4 linked regions of the Astyanax mexicanus genome follow. The protein of the gene in region 4 interacts with the protein of the main gene of each other region in a pairwise test. Links are inferred from orthologs where the notes say so. Each region holds a gene or a part of one and is shown on either strand. Other genes may lie near its edges.

The links.
Region 1: the proteins of mad1l1 (region 4) and tpm3 interact in binary tests that used the Homo sapiens proteins (3 or more experiments, as listed by UniProt). The two-hybrid records come from large-scale screens. The link is inferred for Astyanax mexicanus from reciprocal best matches to the Homo sapiens genes MAD1L1 and TPM3.
Region 2: the proteins of mad1l1 (region 4) and bag5 interact in binary tests that used the Homo sapiens proteins (3 or more experiments, as listed by UniProt). The two-hybrid records come from large-scale screens. The link is inferred for Astyanax mexicanus from reciprocal best matches to the Homo sapiens genes MAD1L1 and BAG5.
Region 3: the proteins of mad1l1 (region 4) and tropomyosin alpha-1 chain interact in binary tests that used the Homo sapiens proteins (3 or more experiments, as listed by UniProt). The two-hybrid records come from large-scale screens. The link is inferred for Astyanax mexicanus from reciprocal best matches to the Homo sapiens genes MAD1L1 and TPM1.

What each region holds. Positions count from the first base shown.
Region 1 is NC_064410.1:30,817,085-30,824,804, forward strand, and holds the start of tpm3 (tropomyosin alpha-3 chain), read right to left. Parts: upstream 3,004-7,720; 5' UTR 2,818-3,003; coding exon 2,704-2,817; intron 1,218-2,703; coding exon 1,092-1,217; intron 1-1,091. UniProt on the Homo sapiens protein: Binds to actin filaments in muscle and non-muscle cells. Plays a central role, in association with the troponin complex, in the calcium dependent regulation of vertebrate striated muscle contraction.
Region 2 is NC_064414.1:30,076,042-30,083,589, reverse strand, and holds the start of bag5 (BAG family molecular chaperone regulator 5), read right to left. Parts: upstream 3,021-7,548; 5' UTR 2,683-3,020; coding exon 2,651-2,682; intron 1-2,650. Other genes in the region: cytochrome c oxidase assembly factor 8, read left to right, coding at 5,761-5,871. UniProt on the Homo sapiens protein: Co-chaperone for HSP/HSP70 proteins. It functions as a nucleotide-exchange factor promoting the release of ADP from HSP70, thereby activating HSP70-mediated protein refolding.
Region 3 is NW_026040053.1:189,384-196,606, forward strand, and holds the start of tropomyosin alpha-1 chain, read right to left. Parts: upstream 3,012-7,223; 5' UTR 2,777-3,011; coding exon 2,663-2,776; intron 1,111-2,662; coding exon 985-1,110; intron 1-984. UniProt on the Homo sapiens protein: Binds to actin filaments in muscle and non-muscle cells. Plays a central role, in association with the troponin complex, in the calcium dependent regulation of vertebrate striated muscle contraction.
Region 4 is NC_064428.1:4,219,304-4,226,998, forward strand, and holds the start of mad1l1 (mitotic spindle assembly checkpoint protein MAD1), read left to right. Parts: upstream 1-4,691; 5' UTR 4,692-4,839; intron 4,840-7,695. Other genes in the region: pmm2 (phosphomannomutase 2), read right to left, coding at 1-32, 3,349-3,423. UniProt on the Homo sapiens protein: Component of the spindle-assembly checkpoint that prevents the onset of anaphase until all chromosomes are properly aligned at the metaphase plate.

The sequences.
Region 1 (7,720 bases), on a different chromosome or scaffold from region 4:
TCTTACTTTTTAATATAGCTATAAACTATTACATTACATAATTTGGTAAGAATTTATGAATCATTAAAAAAGACAATAACACTTTCTTCTGACACTTTGCTTTACAGAAGGTACTGGAAATATGTTTTTTGTGTTTTTGATTTCTGGCTTAAAAAGAACCAAAATGATCTCTGGCCCATATTGTTGTTAATAAATAAAAATCGGATTAATAAAAAAAAAATACTGGTGCTTTTTTTTTGTTGTTTTGTTTGTTGTATCATATAAAAAAGATGATAACAACATAAAGAAGAATTCTACCTTGGATTTTTTAAAATAGATTATTGTTTTAAGATCTGTTGTTGTGAGGATGCAAGTGTGAAAAGCCTTTGTAAACCTTTGTAAATTGATATGACCTCACTATAAAGTCTAGATTATTAACATATAGTAAAATACAGTATTGTATGACTTTTTGTTTTTTTCTAGAAAAGTAAAACCAACGCAAGAACTTTACATTAAGACCTGTTCAAATATGCAGGAGAAAAATAATTTTCATTAGGATGTAGTATGTTTAAGGTGCTGTTATCTCAGCATGGCAGTCCCTGTGCTACTGTCTGTTCTGGGGTGAACAGATTCTTCAGATCCTTTTAGACGCTCTGATTTATAACCCTGGAGCTAAACCAACAGTCCACACAGTGGCCTTGTGGTGACGGCCATCCCCCTGGAGCACACACACACACACATACACACTCCCAGCAATGGCACTAAATAAGACTCTGTGTCACCTCTGTGGCACTCTCGGCCTGGCAACGGAAAAATGATGGACAGAACAGAGACAGAGAAAGGAAGAGGGAGAGGGGGGAGAGGGTACAGAGGCTTGTACAGATACAGACAGACAGACTGAGGGTGAATTTTGGGGTGGGGGCATCATGTCTCATTGACATCATGGTCAAAAGTGGGAGAAGAGACAGAGGCAGCTGTAGATGAATAGAGGGAAGAGAATGAGAGGAATGGGGGGCCAGGGTGAATGGAATTTGGAAGACGGACTGGTGGCCAGTTTGGTGTATGTCTGTGGGGACGACACTTGTGTTCTTTGAGGGATTGTTAGCACTTACATCAGCGGCCTTCTTCTCAGCGATCTCCAGTTTCTCCTGTGCGTCCTTCAGGGCCTCGGAGTACTTATCCAGCTCATCCTCAGTCGCTTTCAGCTTCTTCTGCATCTGAATCAGCTCATCTTCATGCTTTGGGGGTGGGGGTTGGGTTGGAGAAAGAGCAAATGTGGAAAAAGTGTGAAATGTTAGCACTGTGATATCATGACACCCCAATCCACACTATATCTATCCATCCCAATATACACAGTGTTTTATCCTCCCCTCTGCACCTCCTTAACCATCCAAACTTTGCACCCTACAAAAAGCCTGAAAGCCACAGGGCAGCCCCTTCATAGCTTTATCTCAACACTATGTGCTCTAAATATCTTTGTCTCAGGGTTGTCCCTTTCCAGTCCCCATCCAAGGGGTCTCTCCTTCCTCCAGATCCTTCGACAAGCACATCACAACATTCGGTGGATGGATGTCCCTGGCTTTCATCGTCTTGTCTACAGTTACTTGTAGCATGCGCTGGTGGCCGTCTCCACTTTCCGTGTTGGTTTTGGGTTGTCGCTGGCTTCTCAGCAGGCTCCAACTTTGATTTAAAGGCCTACACTTGTCACTTGTCAGATGCCCTCTTGCCCAAGATGACTAGATGGGTCTTAACACGGCCTATGGAATTTATGATGCTGGCTTAGGGCAGAGTTACACCAAGGCTTTATGCAGTCTTCGGCATCTGGTTGCTTCTACGCCTTCCACAGCTTCTAAATTCAAGTGGCTTCCAAGCAGGGGTGCAAAGCTCCAGTCCTGGAAGCATGGTTTTAAGCAATGCTTGGTAGTTGCCCTACTCAAACAACCAACTCCGCCTGGAGACCATCCTTCCAGAACTGGAGTTGTGCAAATTAGTCCCACCTGCTTGGTATTGCTACCCACTCAATGCAGTTTGTAATTGCCGTACTTTGCCTGGTAATTAATAACTGAGGTGTTTTTGAGTAGATAATCTACGCAGTTTTGCTAAAGACTGACCCACAAGGACAAAAGGTAGTTGTGGACCCCTGCTTTAATGCATTAATCCCACCAACTAGCTTGGTCTTGAATGCCCCCTCAGTGTAGTTTTAGGTGAATTAGAAGCTAAACTGAACAGTTTAACTTTGCAATGTTCATTTTCCTTCAGCAACAGCCAGCAACTTGCATATGTTCTAAAATATAATCTCATATTTGACGTGTTTCAAGGCATCAGGTTGCTTCCACAGGTTGCACTCCAGTTCTGAAAGGCCTATCTCCAGCAAAGTTTGGTAGTTGCCCTACTTTACTGCTTTCTCTACCTAGTTATTAATTGATGAGTTGAAGTGGTGTGTTTAAATAGAGCAAATAAACATTGTTGGAGACAAGCCCTCCAGGACTGGAGTTGTGGGCCCCTGCTTTAGTCCCCACTTAATGGAGTTGTAGGTGAATTTAGAACCCAAAATGACCAGGTAGACATTTGCAATGTTTGCAAGAAAGCCATCTCTGACTGCTACCTTTGCAGAAACACTCTAAACATGTCCTATTTAAGCCTATCTAGATACATTATGCTTGAGGCATCTCACCAAAGGTCCTCCTCCTTATCTCTCTCTCTCTACTTCTCTCTTTATCTCACCTGTTTGCTTCTGTCCTCAGCTCCTTTCCTGTCGGTCTCAGCCTGCTCTGCCTGGTCCAGAGCATTCTCCTTATCCAGCTTCAGCATCATCATCTTCTTCTTGATGGCCTCCATCTTGGCTTTGGTGTGTGTTGCTCACGGTACGAGAAGAAACTGAAGAAGAACGATGAGCGATGGAGGCGAGCGGAGGAAGAACTGGACGGAGCTCAAAGACCTTGCAGGGTGAAAGCGACAGGGAGAAAAAGAAAGAGGGAGGGAGGGACGGAGTGAAGGAATGGGAGCCCAAACTCAGCAAGAGATAGGGGAAGGGTCTTTATATCAGGGGGGACATATTGCTCCTCCTAATTTAGCTAGGCCACACCCCCTGGCATTGCCCCACCCAGCTTTATCTCTCAGTTACTCACCTAATAGAGGCATAAACCTGATCAGGCAGTTCATATTAATGTTTGGTGTTTTAAAGACTTATTGTTTACAGCTTTTCTGTTTCTGAAAGTTGGATCATTTGCAAGTATTAGTGTTTGGTTTTTGAGGTTAAAAGAGCAAATTCGAGGTCATCTTTGTCTCTGTCCTTGTAGCCCTTGAAGCTGAAATTGTCTTTTTTTTGCTATTCAGCTTGGTCACTTTCTTTGGACAGTTTTTTGGGGTGTTCTAAGTTTTTAGTCCTTAGTTTTTAAAGGTAAGGAAATAACAAAGCCATTATAATTAAAGGCTAACTGCTACTATAGACACTCTAGACAAAGAAAAGGACAGAGGGTGATGATGGACAGAGCAGGGCTTCGGCTATAATAAGACAAAGCCCTTGCATTTGTGACAGGCACAGGTGTGTACGTGTGACGCCATAACCACCACCCCCCCTCCACCCCCCCCACCCCTCCCCCCCCCCCCCCCCCCACCAGCCGTGCAGTACACTTATGGCCTGTCAATCGGCACACTGATCACTTTACAGCTTTTTTTTTTCTTCACTATGAGCCTCGGCTCTTATCTGTTTGACTGCATGCAGTATAGTATACTGTATCATTTGAGAATTTCACTAGCAGTAGTACCAACATTCATTAAGGAACACTATACTGAGAATATCGTTTTAGCATGGCCTCATGTTGCTTTCACAACATCCTCAGTTCTTTGTGGAATGGATTCTACAAGGTGACAGAAATAGGAAATGTTCTTTTAAGATTCGGAACCATGTTGACGTGACTTTGCCACTCAATACATGCAGATTTTTTCATTATATCTCGCAGCATGCTGCAAATACAATGTTCTACTACTTCCTACTTAATGGATTCAGATCCAACGACCTAGGAAGGTCACTGAGGAACACTGAACTAATGAAACCCATTTTCTAGACAATAGCATATGAATATAATCAACCCTGGAAGCTTTGTATTAATCAAAGCTAAAAAAAAAAAAAAACAGTTTCATTGTAAAGGAGCTTTGGCCCAGAGAACAGAACAATAACAGTGTTTTGGATGCTGTTGATCATCATTCAATATTGACTGATTAAAACTAGGGCTGTCAACATTAAACTCTTAACGCATGCAATTAATTTTGAAACGCATTCATTTGTTATTAGCACAAATTAATCATGTGACAAAATTGACAGAGCCTGGTGAGGCCGTTGAGTGTGGAATATGGAGCTACACTAGCATTTATTTTCTCCAGTAAAACTCTCAGTTAAACTTAGTAACTCAGCATATTACAATATTCTAGTTTACAAAGCATCAAAATGACCCTGATATATTATAATACAGTAAGGGATCTTAGTCCACCAGGTGTAAACCACACTACAGTTTAATTACTGTACCCTCCCCAAAATACAGTTAAGTACCAGCATTAAAAAATATATTATTTAATCCATTTAATATTGTTGTGATTAATACAAGTATTTATTAAGGAATTTGCACTAATAATACTTAATAATAGGTTTTAAATGTATTATTTCACATTTAAATACCCATTATTAAAATCTGAGATCTGAGAAAAAAGTTAGATTAATTGTGATTAATCACAGAATTCTTTTATGATTAATATGATCAATTTTTATCTACTGACAACACTAATTAAATCTTAACAGCAAGCCTAGGGTTCTAGGAAGGATGCATGCATTATTTTTGTTGCAATATCACTAAGTCTGTTTTTGTTAAGATAATTAATCATCAAACCAACATTTGCGTTTTTCATAAAGATTCATTACATTATTTTTCTTTTTTTAATATTTTATTTAGGACTGTGAGCGCTACCATTATAAAAGCAAAGATGTGACAATACGCCTCATTGAGACTTTTCTCTGTTACACTTAATAAAAAAGATCTATTTAATATAAAATAATGGGCTGTGCTTAGTCTGAATGCATGGAATGAGCCTCAAAATGGCCACAGGTGACCTGTTTATTTTTAGGGTTGGAGGATGGGGCAGACACAGACCTGGTTTTAGGTCAAAGGTTAAGCCCAGGATAGACTTTAACAATACAAGGAGGACCCCCTACTGAAAATTCAGTTCAGGTCTTTGATCTAAGAGTTTTACATCAGATGTGTCAAAAAATTATTACAAACATGATAATAATTACACAATTATAGTTTCATAAAAGTGTAGAACATGATGACATGCTGAAACATTACACCCCGGAAGATGCTATTTTTTTATTTGCAGCATAAAAAATATTTTAAAACATTTTTATGAATAGTATTGTTTTTTATTTAATGCTATTTTATGCTCTACCACTTTCCAAAGTGTTTTTATTATTAAAAGTATATTTAGAAAGTTGCCCCCCTCCTGCACCTCGCTGCTTTTTCTTTCATTTCAATTCTGTCCATTTTCTCTTTAATGCACACTTCTCCTGTGAGATGTAGGAAAGTATACGTGTGTTTATGTGTAAGTCAGTGACTGTAAGGGAGAAAGAGAGGGGAGAGAGAGAGCAAGAGAAAGAGAGCAATGGTCAGTTAAACAGGGACGGTCCCAGGACTGTTTTGTGTGTGTGTGTGTGTGTTGTAGATATTAATACTCGTCTCTTGGCTGACATTGTCCTGTGGATTAGTCACCGGCTAGAGTGAAACATCTAGGTTTCAAACGTATCTCTTTTTTTCCTAGCATCCCCCTCAGGCTGCTCAGTTTGAGATTGAATCTGTTAAATGTGGTTGGTGTATCAATATATTCAGTTTGCCAGAGGTTCAAATATAAAGACTCATTGAAGGATTACTTTATATGTGGTTTAACTTCAATGGTCTCTCTTTCAATCTCTCTAACTATACATTTGTGTGTGTGTGTGTGTGTGTGTGTGTGAGAGAGAGAGAGAGAGAGAGAGAGAGAGAGAGAGAGAGAGAGAGAGAGAGAGAGAGAGAGAGAGAGAGAGAGAGTGAGTTTGTGAAACAGTTTAGGAACAGTAGGTCTGTCCTGGAATTAGTCTGCAACCTGGAACTAAACAGTAGACGACTTCAGTGCCTACTCACAGGTGGGCCAGTACTACTGACTGCATCACTCAACATCTCAACGTTAATAAATTAATGTTCTTAGATTTAAAGACCCTCATAAACCTGTAATTAACTCACTGATATTTAATAATAAAAAATCTTTCTCCACTTCACTAGCATGCAAATAGCCTGTGGTGCTTTGTATCAATGACACTGTGTGTCCTCATAAAAAGGGCAAAATACATTTTCACACTTTTGCTAACTGCTAAATGTAGTGTGAATGAGTACATGAGTCTGAGTTTGACAAAGAAAATGTGCCAGAAAATGTCTGTCTGCACTAAACTAAACTTGTAAAGTTTGATGGAGGGGGGATAATTCTTTTGGAGTGTTTTTTTTTTTCACAGGTTTGTTTAAACCCCTTAGTTTCAGTGAATGTAAATCTGAATACTTTACAATAACAAGAGATTTTAGACAACTGTATTATAAAGTATTTTTGTTAGCATTTGGGGCTCAGCCCTTTTCTGTTCCAGCATGACTGTGCCCCAGTGCACAAAGCAAAGCCCATAAAGGCAACGGGGGCAAAGGGGAGTTTTGTGTAGAAGAGTCCCGACTTTAACCCCATCCAACACCTTTAGGGTAAATTAAAATGCTTATTTTCTTCTTAAAATATTTTATAAAGCCTTTATAGAAGTGTGAAACCTTTTATAGCTGCCTATGAGTAACCAGCTTCATATTAATGCCCATGTATTTAGAATGGGATGTCATAGAAGCTCCTGAGATGTACCGTAATGTGTAGGTGTCGAGACTACTGGGTGGCGAGACCTGTAAAGCTAACTAAACAAAACTCTAAATCTTAAAAAAAAATCTATTTTCTTTTAAAGTCAAACGAGCACTAGATATTAATCTACACAGATTTCTCTCCTAAAAACTGTTTATTTGGGTGAGTAAAGTGCTAACATTTATTTACAGTAAGCTTAGATTTCCACTAAAACTGGGTGCAGCAACATTAGCATTAGCAGCTAACCGCTAGCGCTAGCCACGGTTAGCGGCTAATGCCACCAGACAGAGCTACACTGAGTAACCCCAAGTGTTCCGGTAAACCAGAGCGATATTAGCTAGCAGTTAAAAATCCCATGTAGCTTGTTTTAACACGGTAAACACAGACTAGAGTCCAATATACTCACCTCTGAAAGGCGAAAATTTAGGTACTTTGCTTTTAGCGGCTAATGCTAATGCTGCTTCTGCAGTGCTAGCCATGGTTAGCAGCAGGCTACAGGCAGATAATACTCACCTCTGAACGGCCGGTAAAAGAGCTAGTGCTTTTTTTTTTTTACCGCTGCTGCTGCTTTTTTTTTAATGCTGCTGCAGCCTCGGAACTGCAGAAACTTCACTGAAACTCCTGTATAAAGCTGCACTTTAGTGGAGTGGCTTTACTGCTCCTTACAGCCTGACCGGTTACATTCATAAGGTGCACCGGATTTTTGGAAAAATGTAAGTATTTTAGATACACCTTAAAGTGCAAAGAATATGGTAGTATATATAACAATAAAGTAATGTATCTAACAGTGCTAACCATTGAACACAGGTAGTGAAATAAACAAATTGTGATTTTA
Region 2 (7,548 bases), on a different chromosome or scaffold from region 4:
AATTTTTATTACACTTATATGAGAAACAGACCAATAGAAATGCTATAAAATGCCTGAAATCACCTAATTTAAACTGACAAGTTTTTTTTCACTTTCTTCTGTTAAAACGGTTGCTGTTTTGGAGATACAAGTGTTAACAGCACAACAGTGACAATATACAATATTTCAGCGGTTCTGGTGGTACGACCAGTGGTATGGCAAAGCATTCCAAGGTTGTACACAAATTTATAGAGAATTAATCTGTATTTTTCATTATTTTGGACTTGGACTTTGAAATTGATACACCCTGTGTGTAAGCCCACACGTCTTTCTTTACTCTCATAACTACAGTACTAATTAATTATTAACATCGGTTTCATGGGCCCTACAGTTGAACCCTGTGGAACTCAATAATTTCCAGTCTAATTAACCTAGGGTTCACGAGGATGCCATGTAGACACTGTAGTTCATTACATTGTCTCGCACTCCTGCTATTTCCTCAGAGCTGTATCAGCAGGCATACTGCATTGACCATCAACAATATGCAATTGGCCAATTACTGGTACAGATATGGACAGACCACACACATTAGCCACAGTAGGTGGTACTTGGAAGTTTGCTCATGAATTTGCCTTACACCATAATATTTAAAAAGTAATGTACCTCCATATGATTCAATCACAAATTCAATCATTCTCTTTTGATATGCAGCAGAACTGGGAATATTTTCTTTCAGTGGAGTGGCCCTTTAGGGGTTAATAGTCTACTTGTCTTATATGCTTATATAACCAGGTGAAGAGAAATTCCTTCATGTGGAAGAATGCTGCTCATCCCACGGTCATTCGCTGTGCTTTTGGCAGTGACCGTGAAAAAGGATAAAGCAGACATACACACGAACATTCACTGTGTGGGGGCATAAATACATTCACCTCTGGATTTACTTACATGGTATTTTCGGTGGACTTGAACTAACCTGAAACAGCACGACTGTTTTAAAATCCCTTTATGGGATGTCCAGTAGATGTAGCTCTGTTTGAATGTGCTAGCTGTTATAGTTATAATAGCTTCTGTGTGTCCATAAATGCTATGAATATTTGCCATTGTTTATGGCTGTCTGTGCTTTTACATTATTAACACCTTAACAGGCCAGGATTTTTGTCAATGGTCTGCCTGACATTACACTAACATTTTTAATTCAAGCATTAAATAAAAAGCTTTAATGTTTGATAAGGAACATGACTGAAAATCATAATTGTAATTGTAATAGAAAATATATTTAAAAAATTAAGTAAATCTGCTGATGTCAAAATATAATAAATAAAATCAGAAAATCTTCCTTGAACTTAATTTTAAAATCGTATTTTAAATTTTAAACTTAATTTTCCTGAATACCAATCAAATAGTTAATGTCCTTTCCTTTCGTTATGTTTGTACAGTTTTTACAGAATTTGGGTTGATTCCTGTTACTAATCTGGAATTATTAAGTGGAGTAGAGGGTGAACAGGCAGCTTCTCCAAGTGTCCTTTAGGAGATTTCAGAATATGAATAACTTATTTTACTGCAGAAAAAAGGGTTTTGTATCACCTACACCTGTAGCCAATATACAGGACAAATATTTTAAGGGGTTAACCTATTTGCATGAGAATGTGAAAGAAAACAGATGGCAGCTGTGAAGACACATACCAACACCTTCAGCCAGATTTGATTTGAGGTGTGAAATAGAACATCAATTTTTAAGTGTGTGTGCCGGACCTGAATGTGGTCAGGAACGGCTGCTCAACCTGCTGCTGCCTAAACAGCTGTCCTCGTTCACTTGTTTAGTAGAAGATGCCCTGATTACGCTTGCTGTCATGGGTCTGCTCCAGGATTCTGATTATGAAGTCCCTAGTGAGCCTGGGCACAACACGAAAGCTCTGGATTATGGGTTAGGGTGGGGCGAGGGCGCCCAAATGCCATCCATGCCTAAACCTATTAGTCAGCGCAGGAAAGAACATGATGCTGGATACATCAGGACCAAACATCTGGGGAATCTGCTGAGAATGTGGTGAACATCTGGTACACAAGCCAATTAAAGTGTCTGAAACTGTGACATTAAGGGTCTGTGAACGAACATCTTTGGTGACCATTTACTGCCAGTGTGGCTGTGTGTCAATGATTTCACCCTGTCTCTAGCTGAGGTAATGTAAAGGATCCCCCTTTCTGGAACAGTCCATCTAACCTAGCTCGTTAGCTAACAGATGCATGAGGATGGGGAAGACTAGGTCAGTAACTCAGATGTTGATAAAGAAAAGGCTAGTTAACTAGCCACCTAGTTGAGAGAATTAAAATACTGTCAGCACTTCAGGCCACTATTTGCATAACGTCTTCCTTATCTTTTTGGTTCACACGTGGAGAAAGACAGAGAGGCTGATCCGCATTCATGCACCTCAGCACTGTTAGCCAGCGAGCTACATACCTACCCAACTACCTACGCCCACCAAAAGAGCCAGCCCTGAGCATAGCGCACGCTCATTTATTACAGCTAGCAGAAACGCCACGTTTTGCCGGTAATAGGCAATAAAACGAGAAATTATAAGCACGAGCGCTCGAGTCCGTGGCTCCACACACCAACACCAGCATTACCTCCTCTCCACCACCACCTCCTCCTTGCGCAGAAAAGCCTATTTCTCACCTCTTCAACACGCCGAAGACGTTCGCGCACATTATGTCTGAAGAGGCTCGTTTCCATAAGCCGTGCTGCTAAACTGCTGGACGCCTTGAGAGACTTCAGTACTTCAGCGATCGATGGCACGCTGAGTGTGTACAGTGCAGCGGCTCTGTATTCGGGGGCTTTTTAGGCTGTAGATTTGCGTTTAGTCGAGCTAAGCTGCATTGGCGCCCCTCCCATCCCATCCCACCCCACGCAGCCCAGGCGCAGATAGACAGACCGGGGGAACCAATTCAGAGAGCAGGAGGGAGCTGCTGCTGCTGGAGCTGCTGGGATATTACACACTCCACACACACACACACACACACACACACACACACACACACACACACACACACACACATACAGATGTATCTACAGTAGACACGACTATATATTAATATAACTCACGCTATTGCCCTCAAAACGTGACACACTTCAGAACAAGATACCACCAGTTTCCAGCCCTCTAAAGCCCCGCCCTTTTTGGTCTTCAAAACATCATAATCTGGTTCTTCCAGAAGACTATTTACCTTGGTTAGATGGTTTAATCTTTTATACACATGAATGTCAGTCACTAGCTTTAGGTCTGAGTGCTAGCTAGTTAGCTATAGATATCTTGTCAAAGCATTTTAGCTAACCTAACTGGGTTAGTTACCATGGTGTGTATATCTATCTCAAGGTAAAGCTGCCTAGCTAGCTAGTTACATAATACAGCTGGTAGGTCGGATTAAAAAAAACACCATTACATCTAAAAATGTATAGATGGGTTAACGTTACTTATGTTAGCTAGCTAGTTATAGTGATTTGGGCCATATGTGTTATATCAGTTTAAATGTAATGTAACATTAGCTAGGTTATCTATCCTAGGTTATATCAGTTTACATTTTATGTAGCTAGGTTATCTAGCCTAGGTTATATCAACTTAAATTTAATGTAGCTAGGTTATCTATCCTAGGTTATATCAGTTTTAATTTAATGTAGCTAATAGGTTGTGTATCCTAGGTTATATCAGACTTCATTTAATGTAGCTAGGTTACCTATCCTAGGTTATATAATTTAAATGTAATGTAAGTTAGCTAATAGGTTATGTATCCTAGTTTATATCAGTTTTAATTTAATGTAGCTAGGTTATATATCCTAGGTTATCCGTTTAAAAATGTAATGGAGCTAGGTTATATTAGTTTAAATTTAATCTAACTAATAGGTTATGTATCATGTGTTATATTAGATTTAATTTATTTACCTAGGTGTTGTATCCTAGGTTATAACTGTTATCAGTTTAAATTTAATGTAGTTAGCTGGGTTAGCTAACCTAAGCTAACTAGCTCAGCTAATTGATGTGATAAGAAGTTGATTTTATTTGACTTCTGGTTACACTTTAAAACTCTCAAACAAACAATAACAGAAAACTCACATTGTATAATCCGCCTTAGTAAAACAGAATTATCACGAAAAACACGTAAACAAATGTGTTTCAGCGCATGTGCAGAACCGCCCAGTATTACACAGCTTCGGGAAGCTGTATTTGACAGAACACCTTGATGCAAGTACACAGCCAAGATAGCTAAACGTTAACCTACATTACTCAGTTAACCACACCTATAAATATAGGATTAAAAATCTGTCTGTTTACTGCAGCTAGCTTGAAGGACTAGCTAGCTAACGGTAGCCTCGACCTTATATAAAATAATCCGCTTGGACTGAGAGATGCTCAATCCTTTGTGTGTCTCTCTCTCCCTGATACACACAACAAGAACAAGGTTAGGCGATGAGGAGCTCAAATTAGCACACAACAAGCTACAGACCAGCCTGTGTATAAAACCAGCCAGTCCTGTAAACAACAGACCCCTCACTTAATAACTAACGTTACATCTCAATAATTCAGCTTTAGCAAACTACCCACCTGCATAACCAGCGCACAGCCATCGGGACATCAGTGTGTGAGAGAAACAAGCCCAACGGGACCAGCCGGCTAACTCCCACCAATGACCAGCGGGGACAAAAACACCCGGATAGAAGATAGCGCTGTAGCTAACAGACAGCGAGCCCGAGTTTAGTCCATCGCTGTATTCAGAATGTATTCCACTGTTTAACGACAATTAGACATTTATATCTTCTGATTTTATGTCTCGTTTTTACTTTTTTTTTAATTGTTGATTTCTCTCAGACTTCAATACAACCTTGGGTAGCTAGCTAGCTAACTAAAAGTCTATAGCTACTCCACTGTTTGGTCACTACAGTCTTTTAGCTTCCTAACGTGGTGGTAATAATATATACATTTATATTTTTACAATATGGAGACTTAATATGTTCAGGTGTTAAGAGTTATCGTATTTTAAATTCAGTGAAACGTCTCGGTCGTCCAGTTCAATCACAACAGGAAAAGAGCGGAACCTCCTCCCGGAGATGAAGTGTGAAGTCGGGCACAAATAAAAAAAAAGTCTTTAATTGAGAGACAGAATAATACATTTATTATTATTATTATTATTATTATTATTATTATTATTATTATTATTATTATTATTAATAATACCATATATAATACATATAATATTGTTATTTTTAAAGTGAAATTATTAATATATAATTGTGCTAAAAAACATTACGTAAATACATAAAAGCGGACATTTTTAGGCAAAAAATAATTGTGTAAACGTTCACTGAATACAATTAAACAAAATTATTGGAAATAAAATGTAAATAAATAAGTAAACATTAGGTGATGGTAAATGAACACTAGAGTGATAAATTCATCATCTTCAGCTTTTAAAGAAGTAGTGTAAAATGTGGGGGTGTATCTACTTTTAAGTATTGTGAGGTTTAACCAAAAACATATTTGCTTACATGAGGTTTATTTTTTTATTATTATTATTTTTATTTCTTGGATGTATATATCACTGGCGCAGTGAGCTACGAATTTGGGGTGACTTTTACTTTGAAAGTTGGGTAATGTACCTTTTTTCTCCCCTCATATTGTGGCTGCGCGCTCTGCTGTGCCGACACGAGAGTAGTGTGTAGCTAAGGTCACCCTGTGTGTGTAAGGTCTGATAATAGACGGATATTTAGTAGATATGGAATAGGATTAACTAAAAATGAATACACGAGCTGTGGGCAGTTTGTTTTTCAGGTCTCAGCGTTATGCTTCTGGTGTCCTAAAGATAAGGCACCACTGCGCGGGCCAGCCACAGGATGAGCTAGCAGAGGTGTGTATCTGTCGAGCTAACATGATCCCCTGTCAGCAGCTTTTACGTCTGTTAATATTGTCAGGCAACTTTAGAGCTGGACAATATATCTATATTGTATCGTGTCGACATTTGTCGAAATTTCCGGATTCTGTTTAGCTGGTTGATGTGCAGCAAACATTAAAAATAATCAATGTACAGTGTAGCATTTAAATAGCAGATTCTGCCTCTGCTGATGCATTTTGTCTGAGTGTCAAAATATTATAAATACTATGTATTATAAAAAATGTTTTTAAATACTCTTATATTAATTTTCTTACAATATCTTAATCAGTGCATGATCACCTAGATTAAGGTGGTGGCTTTTATATTGTTAATATTGATGATAGAATTGAACCCTATGAAAATTAAGAAATGTATTGTGATATAGATTTTTGCCATATCCTTCAGCCCCAGGCAGCATTAAAGACAAAAACATAAATGTTAAGGGACATTTTGTTTATGTTTGTTTATGTTTGTTTATATCTTATCCTCTTTGTTATAGTACCATCACCTGAGCATATCTTGCGCTAAAATATAATGAACCTTTAAACAATCTGTTCTCATACATTATGAATATGCTCAAATGGTAAATAAGTAACTATACAAATAAAAATTAAACCTACAACCACCGTTCCAAAAAAAAATTGGATGCTGTGTAAAATTAAAGTTAATAGAAAAAATAAAAAATTAAAAAATTATTAAAGTTAATAGAACTGAACGCAGTGATGTGCAAACTTCATAGACCCACATTTTATTCCCAATAGAGCACATAATATATAAGATGTTGACAGTGAGAAACGAGGAATTTGAACTTGAGATTTGGGCAACAGAAGACTGGAAAAAAACAAGCTAGATGAGTTAGTTATTCGCAAGTAACTCACATGACAGGGGAACAACAAGACTATTTCAGGCCAGGCTGAATATTTTGCTAAAACTGACTTTGGATATCCCACCATCTACATAATATCATCAAAAGATTTAGAGAATCTGGAGAACTCCATGTGTGCAAGGAACAAGGCAGACGTTAAGGTTTAGATGCTCATGATCTTTGCACCCTTAAAAAAGCAAAACAACAGGCGTGATTCCAAACTAGAAAAAACTACATGGGCTCAGAAACGCTTTACAGTAATCACTGTCTGTAAACACAAACTGAATCATGCAAAAAAAGAGACACCATTCAAAAATGTCACCATCTATTCTGGGCCAAATTAAAAGCTGCTCTGTCATCAGATAAATCAAAATCTTTTTTTTTTTTTTTTTTTTTGAAAACCAAGGATGTCATGTCCTGCGGACTCAAGAGTTTAGGGACCATCCAGGTTGATATATCAGCACACAGTTCAAAAGCCTACATCTCTACAAAGTCACAACAGCATGCTTCATAGAAGAAAAGGCTCTTAGATCTGCTGTCCAGACACTTCACCAATAGAAAACATTTGGTATATTTTAAAACAAAAAATCAAGAATTCTCCACCAGACAAAAATCGGACATTTCCCACAACTGCTCTCCCAAAAATGTGGGTCTATGAGATTGCATTCTGTTTTTGTTTACATTTTAAGTGGCTCCAGCTTTGCACAATATTTTTATGGTTACCATGTGTAAAACATATTATCATTCAAATTATTATTTCAATTGACATTGTTCTATAAACAGGGGCA
Region 3 (7,223 bases), on a different chromosome or scaffold from region 4:
AAATAAAATATTTTAATAAAAGACTAAATAAAAAATATATATATTCCATTTATAGAAACAGAATTTGTTTGTTTCTATATGATTATAATATATATATATATATATATATATATATATATATATATATATATATATATATATATATATATATATATATATATATATATATATATATATTAGTCATCTAATGTATTGTGTTATTTTATTTTGGTTTAATTTCTACAAGATAATATACAATATATGGACTAAAGTATTGGGACGCCAGCCATTTTCTTCTAAAATTAAAGATATTTAAAAGAGTTGATCCTGCTTTTGTTGGAGTAACTGTCTCTACTCTCCAGATAACATGGAACCAATAGGTTCATGATTATTGATCTGCTGCAGAGAGTGTTCCTATTCTATTGGCGGTTCTTCTATTCTACAGTAACTAGACTAAAGCTGTTTGTGTTCATTTGCACGTCTGTGTCAGCAGCTCTGGGTGGAACTAAATTGAAGAAGCTGAATGCAGCATAAAAAATTATAGGGAGGGGTGTCCACAAATATTTGGACATGTAGTGAATATGTCAGCACTAAATGCAACTAAATATAATAAAATGCTCTTTGTGTTTAAGTGTACAAATACTTTTGACTATAATTTACCCTGAAACATTATAGTTTACTTTATTGCTATAATTTATTTGAATTAGAAAATATATATTCTAATGCACATATTTATAAGTATAGGGAATTAATTGGTAATTGTTGTGTTTAATGTAGCTTGTGGCGTCCCTCAAGGCTCTATTCTAGGGCCTATGAAGCTGTAGTTTTTGCAATCAGGCCTTACAGATGTAGTAATGTTTACAGATGTGTACAGGTGTGTTATAATAATCAGCTGTAATTTAATAATAAATCAGTAATAATCAGATTAATGGACGCGGGGAGGGTGCTATACGACCGCGGGGTGTTTTGTTGTGTTTTTGGACGCCATGATTTGTGAGCACTCACATCAGTGGCTTTCTTCTCTGCCAGCTCCAGCTTCTCCTGGGCATCCTTCAGAGCCTCTGAGTATTTGTCCAGCTCATCCTCAGTGGCCTTCAGCTTCTTCTGCAGAGCCACCAGATCATCCTCCAGCTGAGGGTCCATACAGAACCAGAACAGAACCGAGGGAGAACAGGGACAGAACCAAGAAAGAAGAAAGCTCGGATCAGTAAAAAGCTCAGATACTGTATTATAACACAGTTTTACACAATAAATTACATGACATAACCATCTTTATTACATTATTACACACTGAGCATGCATGACCGGGTCAGAACCGGGTCAGAACCAGGTCCAGACAGTACAGAAGAGGGGTAGTCGTGCTCCAGTAAAATCCTGTTCACTGTCTGGATCTGGATTGAACTCTTGAACTCCTGTGTATTGTATCATGCTCTTCTTTAAAAACAATGCACATAACTATTGGATACAACCAATAATAAATGCTCAAATAATTAAAAGTAAAATTATAAATTTAGATCACACTGATTTGATATTTTCCTTTTAGACAGGGTCTGCTTGTTACACTCGTTCTTTTACTGTACTTTTCAGCTGTGAGCTCATCAATAAACAATAACAATAATAATCAATCAATTGCACATCATTTCATCGTGTGTGCTGAGTCACTATATGCATATATGTATTGGCAATATGTTAGTTGAGGAACCAATTCAACAGTTTAATTCTAACTTGATTTTGAGTTGAAACAGTGGAAGAACAGCTTAAGGTTCTGTCATTTTAGAAGAAAGTGTTTCATCCACAGTTTGTACAGCAAGAAGAAGCTGTAGAAGCTCCACTGTGCCTCTGTTAACCCTGTATCTTCTACTATTAACCCTGTATCTTCTGTTGCATCTTCTGTTTTATCTTCTGTCAACATTGTATCTTCTGTTTTTAACTCTGTATCTGCTGAAGACAACCTGTTTCTTCTGTTGTTAACCCCTCAACAGGCCAGCATTTTTGTCAATTTTCTGCCTGATATTACACACCTAAATCTTAAAGATTTCTTTTCAAGCATCACATAAAACTGTTTAATGTTTGATAATACACGTTAGTACACATTCTAATTGTAATTGTAATAGAAATTATTTTTACAAAATGTAAGTAAATCTGCAACTATAAAAATAAAATGAATAACAGTAAACAAATAATGAAATTGGGACTTCTTAAACTTCATATTAAAATAAATATTTTCCTGAATACAAATCAAACCTGTCCTCCAAACCTTTTGTTTCGTTATGGTTGTTAACTGTATCTAACTGTTAGAATCTTCTGTTGTTAACATTGTATCTTCTTCTGTTAACCCTGTATCTTCTGTCATTAACTTTGTATCTTTTAAACTTGTTTTTTTCTTTTGCTATCATTGTATATCATCTTCTGCTGTTATTATCCCTGTATCTGCTGCCGTTAACTCTTTATCTGTTCTTTTAAATTGATTATTCTGTTGTTAACATTGTATCTTTTGCTGTTAACCATGTATCTGTTCTGTTATTAACCCTGTATCTGTTCTTTTTAACTTTGTATCTTTTTTGTTAACTCTGTATCTCTTCTTTTAAACTTGTATAAGCTGTTGTTAATCCTGTATCCGCTGCTCTATGAGTGAGTGAGAGTATGTTGAGTATGGAGAGTATCGTGAGCGGCGGGCTCCGACCTGTTTGCTCCTGTCCTCCGCTGCCTTCTTGTCTCCCTCTGCCTGCTCAGCCCGGTCCAAGGCATTCTCCTTGTCGAGCTTCAGCATCTGCATCTTCTTCTTGATGGCATCCATGGCTGCTGGTGGTGGTGTTGGTGCTGGACTGGGACTGGGACTGGGTCAGGCTGGTCCGGGCGGGTCAGGCTGGGTTCGGGAGAGGAGAGGAGTGTTCCGAGCTGAGCGCTGAGCTGGAGTGCGAGCTCACTCTGGACCTCGAGCTGTCAAATATGCGTGTCGGCGCGCGCTCCCCGGTTCCTGCAGGGACACCTGATACGAGGTTTGGGCTCGAGCCGGCCGGTGATTCGCTGTTTGCGGACATTTGACAGTTCATATCGCTATATATGGGGTGCACGGGGCGAGGCGCGCGCACCCCCATCACCCCCCCAACCCCCATCCTCACCCCAAAACCGACCTGATCCTATTTCCACACCCCCCTCATAAACCACGCCCACTTCTTAGACATGCATGCACCCCCCCACCACACCCCCACCCTAAATCTGCAAGGAGTAACCCCTTCAGTATCAAAAGTATCAGAAGTATCTCCATTCATTACTCCACTGTAGGCAGAAGTATAGATACTAGAGTATAAAATTACTTTCAGTTTTAAGTATCAACTCATTATGTTGATACATATGTTGATTAATATAATGAAATAATTATATTAATGTGCTTTTAATATATTTTAAGTAAGTACATAAATCTGTTAGTATATTTACAGCATACTTCTCAGTATGTTTTATCCACAATTAAGTATTTTTAAAAGTTATTTTTTCACCAGGTCCCCCTTCCCAAAACCCTTTTCAACATTTTTCTAAAAGATATAATGACTATAATGTTATATAATTTGGGATGCACTAGGCTGTTCCCTGTTTAACATATGTTTTTTTTAGTTTTAAGAAAACCACTCAAGCTTTTTAAGCTTTAAGTAAAAGTGTTTTTAAAAAGTGCTGGATTAAAAAAAACTACTTAAAGTATAAAAGTAAAAGTAATACAAAAGGGAAAATAATAAAGCCATTAAGAACAAAAGCTAAGAATAAAATTTTTCTAAAAGCCATAATGACTATAATTTTATAATATTACAATGTTAATGTTGGTAATATAATTTGGGATGCTCTAGGCTCCTCCCTAGTGTTTCAGCTGCATATATGCACCATTGTAAATGAATGTATTTTATTTAGTAGAATGTAAATATATTAATAGGCCTGTCACGATTTAAAAAAATGCGAACGATATATTGTCCCAAAAATTCTCAATTTTTTTAATTGTAAAAAGAAACAATGCAGCTCATAAACAATATATCAGACTAAAAGTATTAAACTCATCCAAATTATGTAGTGAAGTCAAAGAGAAAGTAGGAGGAAAAAATAATAATCCAGTAGAGTACAGATACAGTTTTGTAGTACTTAAGTACAGTAAAGAAATAAAAGTAATTACCAAGATAATTTGGTAACAAGTTAAAATAAGTATAACAGTAATTACAACAGAATGTTTTAAATAATTATTAATTCACACAAGTTAAGACATTAATGTTTGTTACTGGTAAAAGTAAATATATACAGCTCTAAAAAAATGTAGAGAAAGCATTTCTAAATCAGTTTCTCTAATTTTGCTATTTATATGTTTATGTTTGAGTAAAATGAACATTGTTGTTTTATTCTATAAACTACAGACAACATTTCTCCCAAATTCCAAATAAAAATATTCTCATTTAGAGCATTTATTTACAGAAAATGAGAAATGACTGAAATAACAAAAAAGATGCAGAACTTTCAGACCTCAAATAATGCAAAGAAAACAAGTTCATATTCATAAAGTTTTAAGAGTTCAGAAATAATCAATATTTGTGGAATAATCCTGGTTTTTAATCAGGGTCTTTTTTTATTCATCTTGGCATCATGTTCTCCTCCACCAGTCTTACACACTGCTTTTGGATAACTTCATGCTGCTTTACTCCTGGTGCAAAAATTCAAGCAGTTCAGTTTGGTGGTTTGATGGTTTGTGATCATCCATCTTCCTCTTGATTATATTCCAGAGGTTTTCAATTTGATAAAATCAAAGAAACTCATCATTTTTAAGTGCTCTCTTATTTTTTTCAGAGCTGTATTTGGTACATGGATTATATCTTAATGGCCCAAAATCTGACTTCAGTTAAAAGTTTAAAGATATCTATACTTAAACTAAGCATTTATTTTACAGAATACTGGAGCATAGTACAGACCTTCTACAAAATATAGTACAGCATGCTGCATCCACCACCTTCATTTATTAATTATTAATTAGACAAATATTTTAATTAGATTGGCAAAATACGCAAATCATATTATCAATAATTTAAAACTAGTTAAATTTGCTCTAATGTATCTTTACTATAGAATTAAGGAAAACGTTGTTTTGTGGAATCAGATTAATTGGAAAACAAATTTCATACGGGTTTATGAAGCATGTTTTATTGTTTTTAATATTGTGATGATTGTGTTTTTACCAGGTCAGTGTGATAGTTTCCAATATTCTATCAGTGATAAAACTCCTGCATCCGGACTGAAATTGTAAAAACAGGAGGATCAGTGAGTTTAAGTCTTTTTTCTCGGTCACATGACATCATGGAGTTCAGTAGCTCCTCCAATTCCACTCGCTGTTGTGTTTTTAAAGTGGCTCTCCGTGGAAACCGTGGTGCATGTAATTACGGTGCGCGGCAGTGGACAAATATCTATTTTATTAAAGGCGAGGAGACGAAACTCAGAGATGTGCGTCCGGACGGGACTAAAATTACCGGAGGAGCACGGAGTTCAGAGAAAAACAGTAGATAATTCAGCCTGTAATTTTCTCAGAGGACGTCTGAGAAAAACACTTACATGATAGTTCTGGACGGGAATAAAATCACAGGATAAAAAACCCATAAAAGAGAAAATTACCCAGAACCCCCTAAAATACTAATCCCATCCGGATTGAGCTTCTGTGTAATTCGGGTACAGCTGCAGATCCTGGACCCGGATTAGACTCCTTCCGGTTGTAACTAATAAGACTAATGAGATCAGAACCGGCGTGATGAAGAACTGGATCAGTGACAGATGGGATGTAATGAGGTCCTGTGGGTTTTGTTCACAGTCTGAAGAGTATTAAATGGGATGGTCCTCCTCTGTCAGCACTCGGATCGGGTTCTCCTGGGCCTACAGGAACGGGTCAGTCCCATCGGGCCCAGCGGGAAAACCAGAACCGGAATGTAGATTATCTCTCCGGCAGATCAGACAGAGCACTAACCCGTTTAATCAGACTAATTACACCCGGCTTCAATCCGAGCACACTGCTGTCTACAACCCCAAAACCCTGATAATCACACCCCCAACACTCTGATAATCACACTCTCCAAAACCCTGACAATCACCCCCAACATCCTGATAATCACACCCCTAGCATCCTGATAATTACACCCCCTGAAACCCTGATAATCACACCTCAACTAAATCTCTAATCAACACAAACTCGTACGATTAGCCACGGATTACTGACCAATTACTGACGGGGTCCAACACACACACCCAACACCCTGATAATCACACCCCCAACAACCCCCTGATAATCAAAACCCCCAACACCCCCATGATAATCAAACCCCCCAATACTACCCTGATAATCACACGTCAACTAAAGCTCTAATCTCCACAAACTCACACAATTAGCCACAGATTACTGACTGGCACCAACACTTCAACACACTGCCAACACATGTATCTGCTGAGCGTAACACTGTATCATCCAACACCCATTCATAATCAGATCACTGTAGTTGTAGTCTGATGGTCCCACTAGTCATGTAAACAAAATACTGAGTTTGTTGATACTTGATTTTTAAGGTCAGAGTAAGATGTATAAATATAATGATGGATTTGTTAAATTTAAAAGAGAGCTTGAATTGAGGTTCTTATATACTTTTAACCAGAGTATGTTTCAGTCTGGGCATGAGTGAAAACTCTGGAGGTTGATGCTGATGTCACTAAAAGTTGTTTTAGGGTCTTTCTTAAGAGAACTCACAATGTTTCTGTTTCATCAACTGTTCATCAACTGATTTCCTTTGTGATTGACCTGTTCAACGTCTGTTCCTTAGTACACCAGTGACGACTTTCTTCTTTAGGACTTTCAAAACTGTTGTTGTGGCTATAAACAATAGTTGTGCTCTAATAATTCTGATTGATTTACTTGTTTTCTCAGTTTTACAGCTGCTTTTTCCATCCAAGTTTATTTTTTGTTTGAATAATTAATGTATCAGGACACACCTGGTCAACAAAACACACCTGAGAGTCACATGATCCAATTCTTTTGCTGATTAGAAAAATGGGTTGGTTCAGACAGAAGGTGCTGGGATGTCTCAGTCTGCACAAAAACTTGGAGGTTGATGCTGATGTCACTAAAAGTTGTTTTAGGGTCTTTCTTAAGATAATTCACAATGTTTCTGTTTCACTAACTGCTGTGGTTTTGTTTGGTCTATCATCTGTTCATCATCTGTTACTCAGTACACCAGTGATGA
Region 4 (7,695 bases):
GTTAAGAACTGCTGCATCTGTGGAGTCACTTTCTAAAACAGAGGGGAAAAAATAAAATGCAACAATGAATTCTATGTGAAGAACTTTAATCACTTAATAATAGGTAACAGTATTTTACATGTATAAGACTTCAGACTACACAGAATACATTTTCAGCATAATTGCAATTGCTTGGCTGCACTGAAAATGAGGATCACCCTTAAACCACAGAAAGATTTATTAATTGATTTAAAGTGAAAGTTAACATTTCTCTATATTTGAAATAATGTGTTCATTCTGTGTACATCTTGAACAAAATGTTAAATATAGTTTACATGAAATTTAAACAACTATACTGCTAACACAAAAGGCATGCTTTATTGATATTGACTGAATAACAAGTTACACTGCTTCCAGCTCCTGTCAGCAGACACGCCCACATTCCAGACTGACAGCTGTAGGGAGTCTGACCAGTGCGAAAGGTGGATCACTGGGATACTTTTACTAACCAGTTAAACAAGCCAGACCACAATCCCAGTCCTCAATCTGGAACAGCAGGTCTCATGTGAATGCACCCAGTTCACTTAACAATGAATATATATATATGAATAATGATATAAACTCATCCTAAACCAATGCAGTAAATCTCTTTTCACAGAACTGATACTATAATCGGGGTTTTAACTGATTTAACTGAGAGATTTAACTGAGAGAGTACAATCATCCGATATTTTATGTTAGATATTAAATGAGCTTCAGAGAACTGAAACATGTGTTACTGTGATTATGTTGCTTGGGGTACAGTTCAGAACAGCTTGAGAAGGTTCTCAGGCCAGGTCCCCCCACAGCTAGCTGATGAAGATGAGGGTGATGATGGAGTGGAGGTGGGTGCAAGGTCAAAAGTCACAAAGTGAGGAGCACCTCGGAGGTAGGACTAGGGGGAGGAGCTCAGGAAATTGAGGCGTGGTCCATATCCCAAAATGTTGTTAATTCTTAACAACACTAATACTTGAGTGCCACTTCTGATGGCATCAGCAGTTACAGCAGCTTGTGTATAAATCACTGTGTCTCCAGGTTAAACTATTTTTCTGCTGGTTTTCTTGGTTGACTAAACAGATCACAAAGGTCATGACTCTCACCATCCTCCTAAATATCTCAGCTGACTGACTGCATCTGGTGTCAATGATTAATCATGTTCTTTTCCCAAACGCAGGTTTAGACAGAAACATGCTCTACTTGGTGCACTATGTAGTCAAGAGAGGGACAACTGAGACTCACTTTGGGCTGCGTTCAAAACCACATACTGCTACACTAGTTTAACAGCATTAGGGCCATTCCAGCGAATGGGTGCCATTCGCTTGTTGTTTAAAAACAAGTCCACTTATTCCTTATGTTTTCTCTCAAGAAAGTATTTATTTTAAAGAAATGTTTGACTGCATGTTCAAATAATAAAATAAATAATAACTCCTGTTAATGCACTCATTCCTGTTACTGGAACTCGCTCCTGTTAAAGTAACAGGAATGAGTTTTTAGCATAGAATTAGCAAAAACATGAAAAAGAGCTAAATGGCAGATAAGGGCACTGGGCACATTTAAGTACAATAAAATTAAATATACAGAAAAACAAATAATCTTAATTTTGGTCTTCCCATAGTCTTCAGAAGAACCAGCTGATGTCACTTCCTGTTGTAGATGTGACTTCCTGTTGTAGAATGTTCCTGATGTTTTAGATGATCAGGGTAATGTGGTACAGTAACAGGACTGAGTGAAACCCAGCGACACAAATAAAACGTGTATATTCAATATTGTGGATTTATTATATATTAAAAAAAAATAAAGTATAGATTGGATTTGGAGTCACACAACAATGCAAAAAAAAATACATCTCCGAAGGATTTTAATAATTATAGTTAGAAAGTGGGGACAGGTAACAAATGCTATTTTTTCAATATTCTAAGTAGTTTTTTGTTAATGTTTTTATTACATCTTACTTTGCAATTAGGTCAATGACTTGAACCGGTTGCTGACTGTGATCTTTCTCAGCTGCTTGTTGTCGCGAGCAGAAGTTTTTCGGACGCCGGAACAGTTGGTGCGCTTGCTGCAGTTTTTCTTGAGAGCTTTGCAGACGGAAGACTGGCTGATGCCGAGCTGCTCAGCAGTTTTAGTTTGGGTCAAGCCTTGTTGGCGAAGGGCTTGAATTTGAGCCACTATTCCGGTTGAGAGGTCGCGCTGCTTACCCATGATTGATTTTACAACTTAGAAATTCTACTCAACCCTGACTTTATACTGCACAGTGAACACTCTTCGGAGAAAACAAAAATTCGAGCATTTATTCTAATTCAATGAAACGCTTTCTCCATTATTCTAATTCAATAAAACAACAGTGTCACAGTTAAATGGCCTAAATGGGCCTTTTGGAAAGCTCAGCTGAGCAAATTGTTTTCCAGGTAACGAGTTCTGTGATTAGTCTAACGAGTAGGACAGGTGCGGTGAACACCTGATTTGCTTTCTGCACAAAAAATGCATTCAAAGAATTTCATGATTGCACTATTTCAAATTATTCTAATTCGTTGACCAGCACCTGTATTTTGTTATTCTGTGTGCACATTTATAAATGTAGTTTACTGGGGACAGAAATGGCACCCATTTGGTGGAATGGCTCATTACAGTCTATTTACAGTCTATTTTAGTCTGAAGACCAGCTTCTGCTGGTAGCTGGTTTTGGAAGGTCTAAGTTGGTCTTTGATTGATAAGGTTTTTGAACTGCTGGTCAGTCTGGTGAAAACACCCACTATAATTGGGAAGCTAGCTGGTTAACTAGCTTTTGGTCAGTATAGTAGTTACATGTTGCATTTGATCACACTTATTTGATAATGCTGGTTTACCAAGTGGTCTTAGTTGGCCATGCTGGTCATGGTGGTTGTATACTTTGGAAAGGCTGATCATAGACCAGTTAAATCATCATATCCCATCCTAGTCTTATTCTAAAAGGTTGAATCAGCTCAATCAGCTTGAGATCTGAGCCTGCTGTTTGTTTTCAGCAGGGAAGTGCACTATATAGTGTGCACACATGGTGACAGTTGAGACTCACCCATCTGTATTCAAAACCTGATACTAAGTTACTACAGTAGCTAAAGCATTCATATACACTAGAGGTGGGTAACCCAGGTCCAGAACATAAAAATCCAATCCATGGTTTTGTACCAACTGTGTGGGCAGCTCTGATGATTAAGCTCAGCTTCAGCTGAGCAGCACGGGCAGTTGGTACAAAACCCTGGGTTGGATTTTTACTCTCTGGAGCTGGGTTACCCACCGCCAATACAGCTCCTCCGCAGATGAACACACTACAGTTAAAGTGAGTGATCTTACCTGCCGAGCTGCTGTCAGGGTCCCGTCCACGTCGAACAGACAGAGGGTGGAGGTGTCTGTTTGCGGGGGGCTCATCTTTAGATGATAAAAGGATCAGTGATACTCAGAGAGAAGTGAAAGAAGTGAGAGAACAGACAGAACAGCAGAACTCAGCAGAGCAGGAAGCAGACACGTCCTCCACATCCGCGTCACCCACTACTACAGTTCGGCCGCGGAGGAAAGGGAGGGGCCTATTTTTAGTTTTTTTATATATATATTTTTACATATTTATTTATACATTACAAATGTTACAGAATCATGTTGGTGCTTAAAAACATTACAAAAATATAATAATACAGTAATGTACAAATCATAAACTAGATACCTTTCAAGCTCACAGGGGGCGGGGCCTGAGGAATGTATGAATGGGATTTCCCTTAACGCCAATCAAGGAGCCCGTTTATGAATAAAATCCCGCCCTTCAACAAAAAAGAGCCATACAGTTTACTAAGTACTAGACACAAACCTCATAAGTAATAATAATATTAATACTGAAAAAAAAGGGAGATTATGAAAAAATAATCATTATTATAAAAAAGATAAGAAAAGAATTAAAACAGATTTAAGATTAATCAAGTTATAAAAGCACTTAAATGTAGCATGTAGCAATTTTTTACAAAGATGTTTACATTTTTTTCTCAGTCCTTTTACCAAAATTCATGTAACATTTAAAAAGCATGTCCACTAATTCCTTTCATTTTCTTTTAAGAAAGTGTTTATTCTAAAGTAATTGTTGACTGCATGTTTAAATAATTAATATTGTTGACAAACAAATACTATATATGAACGCACATTCTATTTTTCTAAAATATGCAAAGTTAATTTATTTTAGCAAGAAGACCCAACCCTGAAACTGATCAAATTTATTATCATCGCAATTTATTAACCAAACAGAATTGGACAGGGTGTTTAACATTAACCAATATTTACACTAATAAATCACTAAACGAGAGGACTCTACTCACTCCTGTTACTGGCGCTCACTCTTGTTGCTGGCGCTCACTCTTGTTGCTGGCGCTCACTCCTGTTATTGTCACTCACTCCTGTTATTGTCACTCACTAAGGGTTCTGTATTGTATGCTCAATGTTGTCTGGTTCTGTGTTCTGCGTTCACATTTATGTAAAGCTGCTCTGTGACATCAGTTCTAAAAAGCGCTTTATAAATCAATTTGATTTGATCGAAATGCTCCAGAATCTAGTAGAAAGTCTTATATGAACAGCAGAGACAGTTACTCCTAAAGAAGCAGGATAAACTATTTTACGCTTAAATTAAATGAGGCGGTGTCCCATTATTTTTGTCCTCAGAGTGAACGCCGCGTCCCGCTCGTTAGGTGGCGGACTCGGCCCGCTGTAGGGGATTATCCGCTCCGGCTGAGCATAGAGGAAGAGCAGCAGCAGCTCGGAGCTGGAAAGGAGGGAGATTCAGATTCAGAGCTGAGCTTCAGACTTCAGGCGAGCTTATCTTTTAAAGATTTAAACTTTACACGGAGAAAAGCTGGAAAATGCACCGTGTGCGATTCGGGTCGTTTTTGACCTGTCTCTGCTTCTACCAGCTGATAGAAACGATGTGGAGTCTGCTGGCTAATTTGTTGTGGCTATAAAACATGTGTATTGGTGTTGGAATTATCCGGTCCACCTTAAATATTTTATCAGTTTGGTTCAGATATATGATAGTTCACTTATACGCACTGACGGGTCATTTAAGGTGGACTGGAACGTTACAGGAAAAATAACTAGCTAAAAGGCGAATATAGTTAGTTAACCTAGTTAGCTAACTAGTGTTTCTAATTCTGTTGCGTTTTGAATTCGCTAGCTAACTATTAAACTAGCGTAATTATTTATTAGCTAACGCGAAATGCCTTCAAGTATTTCAGTTTCTTTTCTGGAAACATTAGCTAGCTAACTAGCTAAGCTGTTTTCAAGATGAAGCAAGTCAGGCTTCAGTGCGCTAACTAACTAGCTAACATTGCGGTAAGTTAGCTAGCTAGCCTAGGTTAGCTAACTACAGCTCAAACTAAAAGTTTTTACCGCGTAAATTTAGTTAAAAGTTAGGGTTAAACCGCTGTTTTGCCTGAAGTAAGTAGTTTTAGCCATACAGCTAGAGTTAACTAGCTAAATAAACTAGGTAGGTTAGCTAGCTAATTAGTTACTCAGTTAGCAACTCCGTGTGAGGCCTGTGTAAGTAGCTTAACCCCTTAACAGGCCAAAATGTTTGTAAATTTTCTGCCTGATATTACGCACCTAAATCTTGAAGATTTATATTCAGGCATTACATAATAAGGTTTCATGTTTGATAATAAACGTTACTATAATTGCTAATTGTAGCTGTAATAGAAAGTATTTAAAAAAAGTAAATATGCAACTTTACAAATATAATGAATAACCATTATACATTTGGCACTTTGTCCTCCGAATCCTTGGTTTCGTTATGTTTGTCTAGTTTTTATGTCTGTTTTTAAACCTGCAGAATTTGGGTTGATTTCTGTTACTGATGTGGAAGTGTAGAGAAAAAAGGGCAGCTTCTCCAAATGTCCTGTAGGAGATTACAAAGCCCACACATTTTCAGAATGTAAATAACGTATTTTACTATTTGAAAAGGTGGGCCATTTGGGAAGCCCACCTGGGTCCCAGTAACACTTCAAACTCACCACGTAGCCCACATTCCACCCATATAAGCCCCACAGATGCATGCAGGCTGGGAAGCTACCAACAATTTCTTTTAAAGGCAAGACTGTGTCATTTACTGTGTGAGATAGGGGTTGCCTATATTGCAATAAAATATTATCACAGTGTTTGAGGGTATTTTTGCGATAACTATTGTGCTGCCTTGTGCCGATTGATCACCCTTTGGAGTAATAAGGAGAAAGAGCATCATCTACACACCCAGAGAGAGCAAGGCCAATAGGTAGCCGATGACAAGCTACATGAACAGGATTCGAACTGGCAATCTCCTGATCACAGTGGCAGCACCTTAGCCTGCTGGACCCCTCTGAGCCCAACATTTGAAATTAATTTTAAGAATATTCTACTGCAAAACAAAATATAAAAGTTTATGTAGTATGAATTAATTTCATAAATACAGTAGAAACTAAAAAAATATATAAACAGTCTATTTTGTAAACAGTAACGAATAATATGTGTAAAATAGTAATCTGGCAAAATTAAAAATATTTAAAAAAGTAATCGAACAACAATATTCAACAAAACTAATGTGTACAGCAAATAACACAGTAATAAATACAGAAAATAGATAAATAATAGAGGTGTGCCAAAAAATCGATTCACATAAGAATCTTGATTCTCATTTACTACGATTCAGAATCGATTTAAAATGTCCCAAAATCGATTCTGAGGGGCGGGTTTTAGACTGATTTTGGGCTGGGTATTTTTGTTGGACCTGGCAACCCTGGGGATAGCGCTTGTCCTTTCAAACGGAGATCTTCCAGACACACACAGAGCGTAGGTGTTTGAGAATCACCGGTAAGATGGCAGAACAAGCACTATATTACATTAGATTAACGTGTAGTTTCAATGTTTTATGGCAGAATGCTTCATAACAAGCATAAAAAAGATCGCTAGTAGTTAGTTTCAGTAACTGTTAGCTAGCTAACTAGCTAACTTTCCAGTTCCACCTTAAATAACGCTACAGGTGGCAGCGGGCTGCAGCATTTAAGGCGGAACGGAAAAATAACAATAAGCTAATCAGAGCTAATTTCAGCTCCTCATCACAGAGGAATTAAGGAATGGACCATATGAATTAATTTCTCCACCTCCTGCCCCCTTTCTGAAGAAATACAACGACCTTAAATTAACTAGTTAATCAGCAGCTGCTCCTGAACTTTAGCGCTCCACTGCTATCATCACATCAGCCCAGCAGCGTCACCTACACACCACCGCTAGTAGCCTGGTAATAAAGCAGTGTTATTTATTATTTATTTATTGTTCATTAACGTCATTGTGATATCCCAGTGATTTCTCTGTCACTGAGGACCCACATTCCTGCACATTTTATTGTTTTTGTAACACATTACCTGCTCCAGGACCAGTGTATATTATGGAGGGTTTTTTTTTTCAATAAGATTCATAAGCCAGAAGCAGAAATTTTTATAATTCAAATCGTTTTAAATCAAAAATCGATTTTGAATCGAATCGTGGCCCCCAAAATCGGAATCGAATCGAATCGTGAGATAGTAAACGATTCCCACCCCTAATAAATAAATACAAAATAGACTGGTTTCAATAAGTTTATTGTTTTATTGTTTTAGAAATGTCTGTGATAGTTTTGAACAATACAATATGGCACACCCT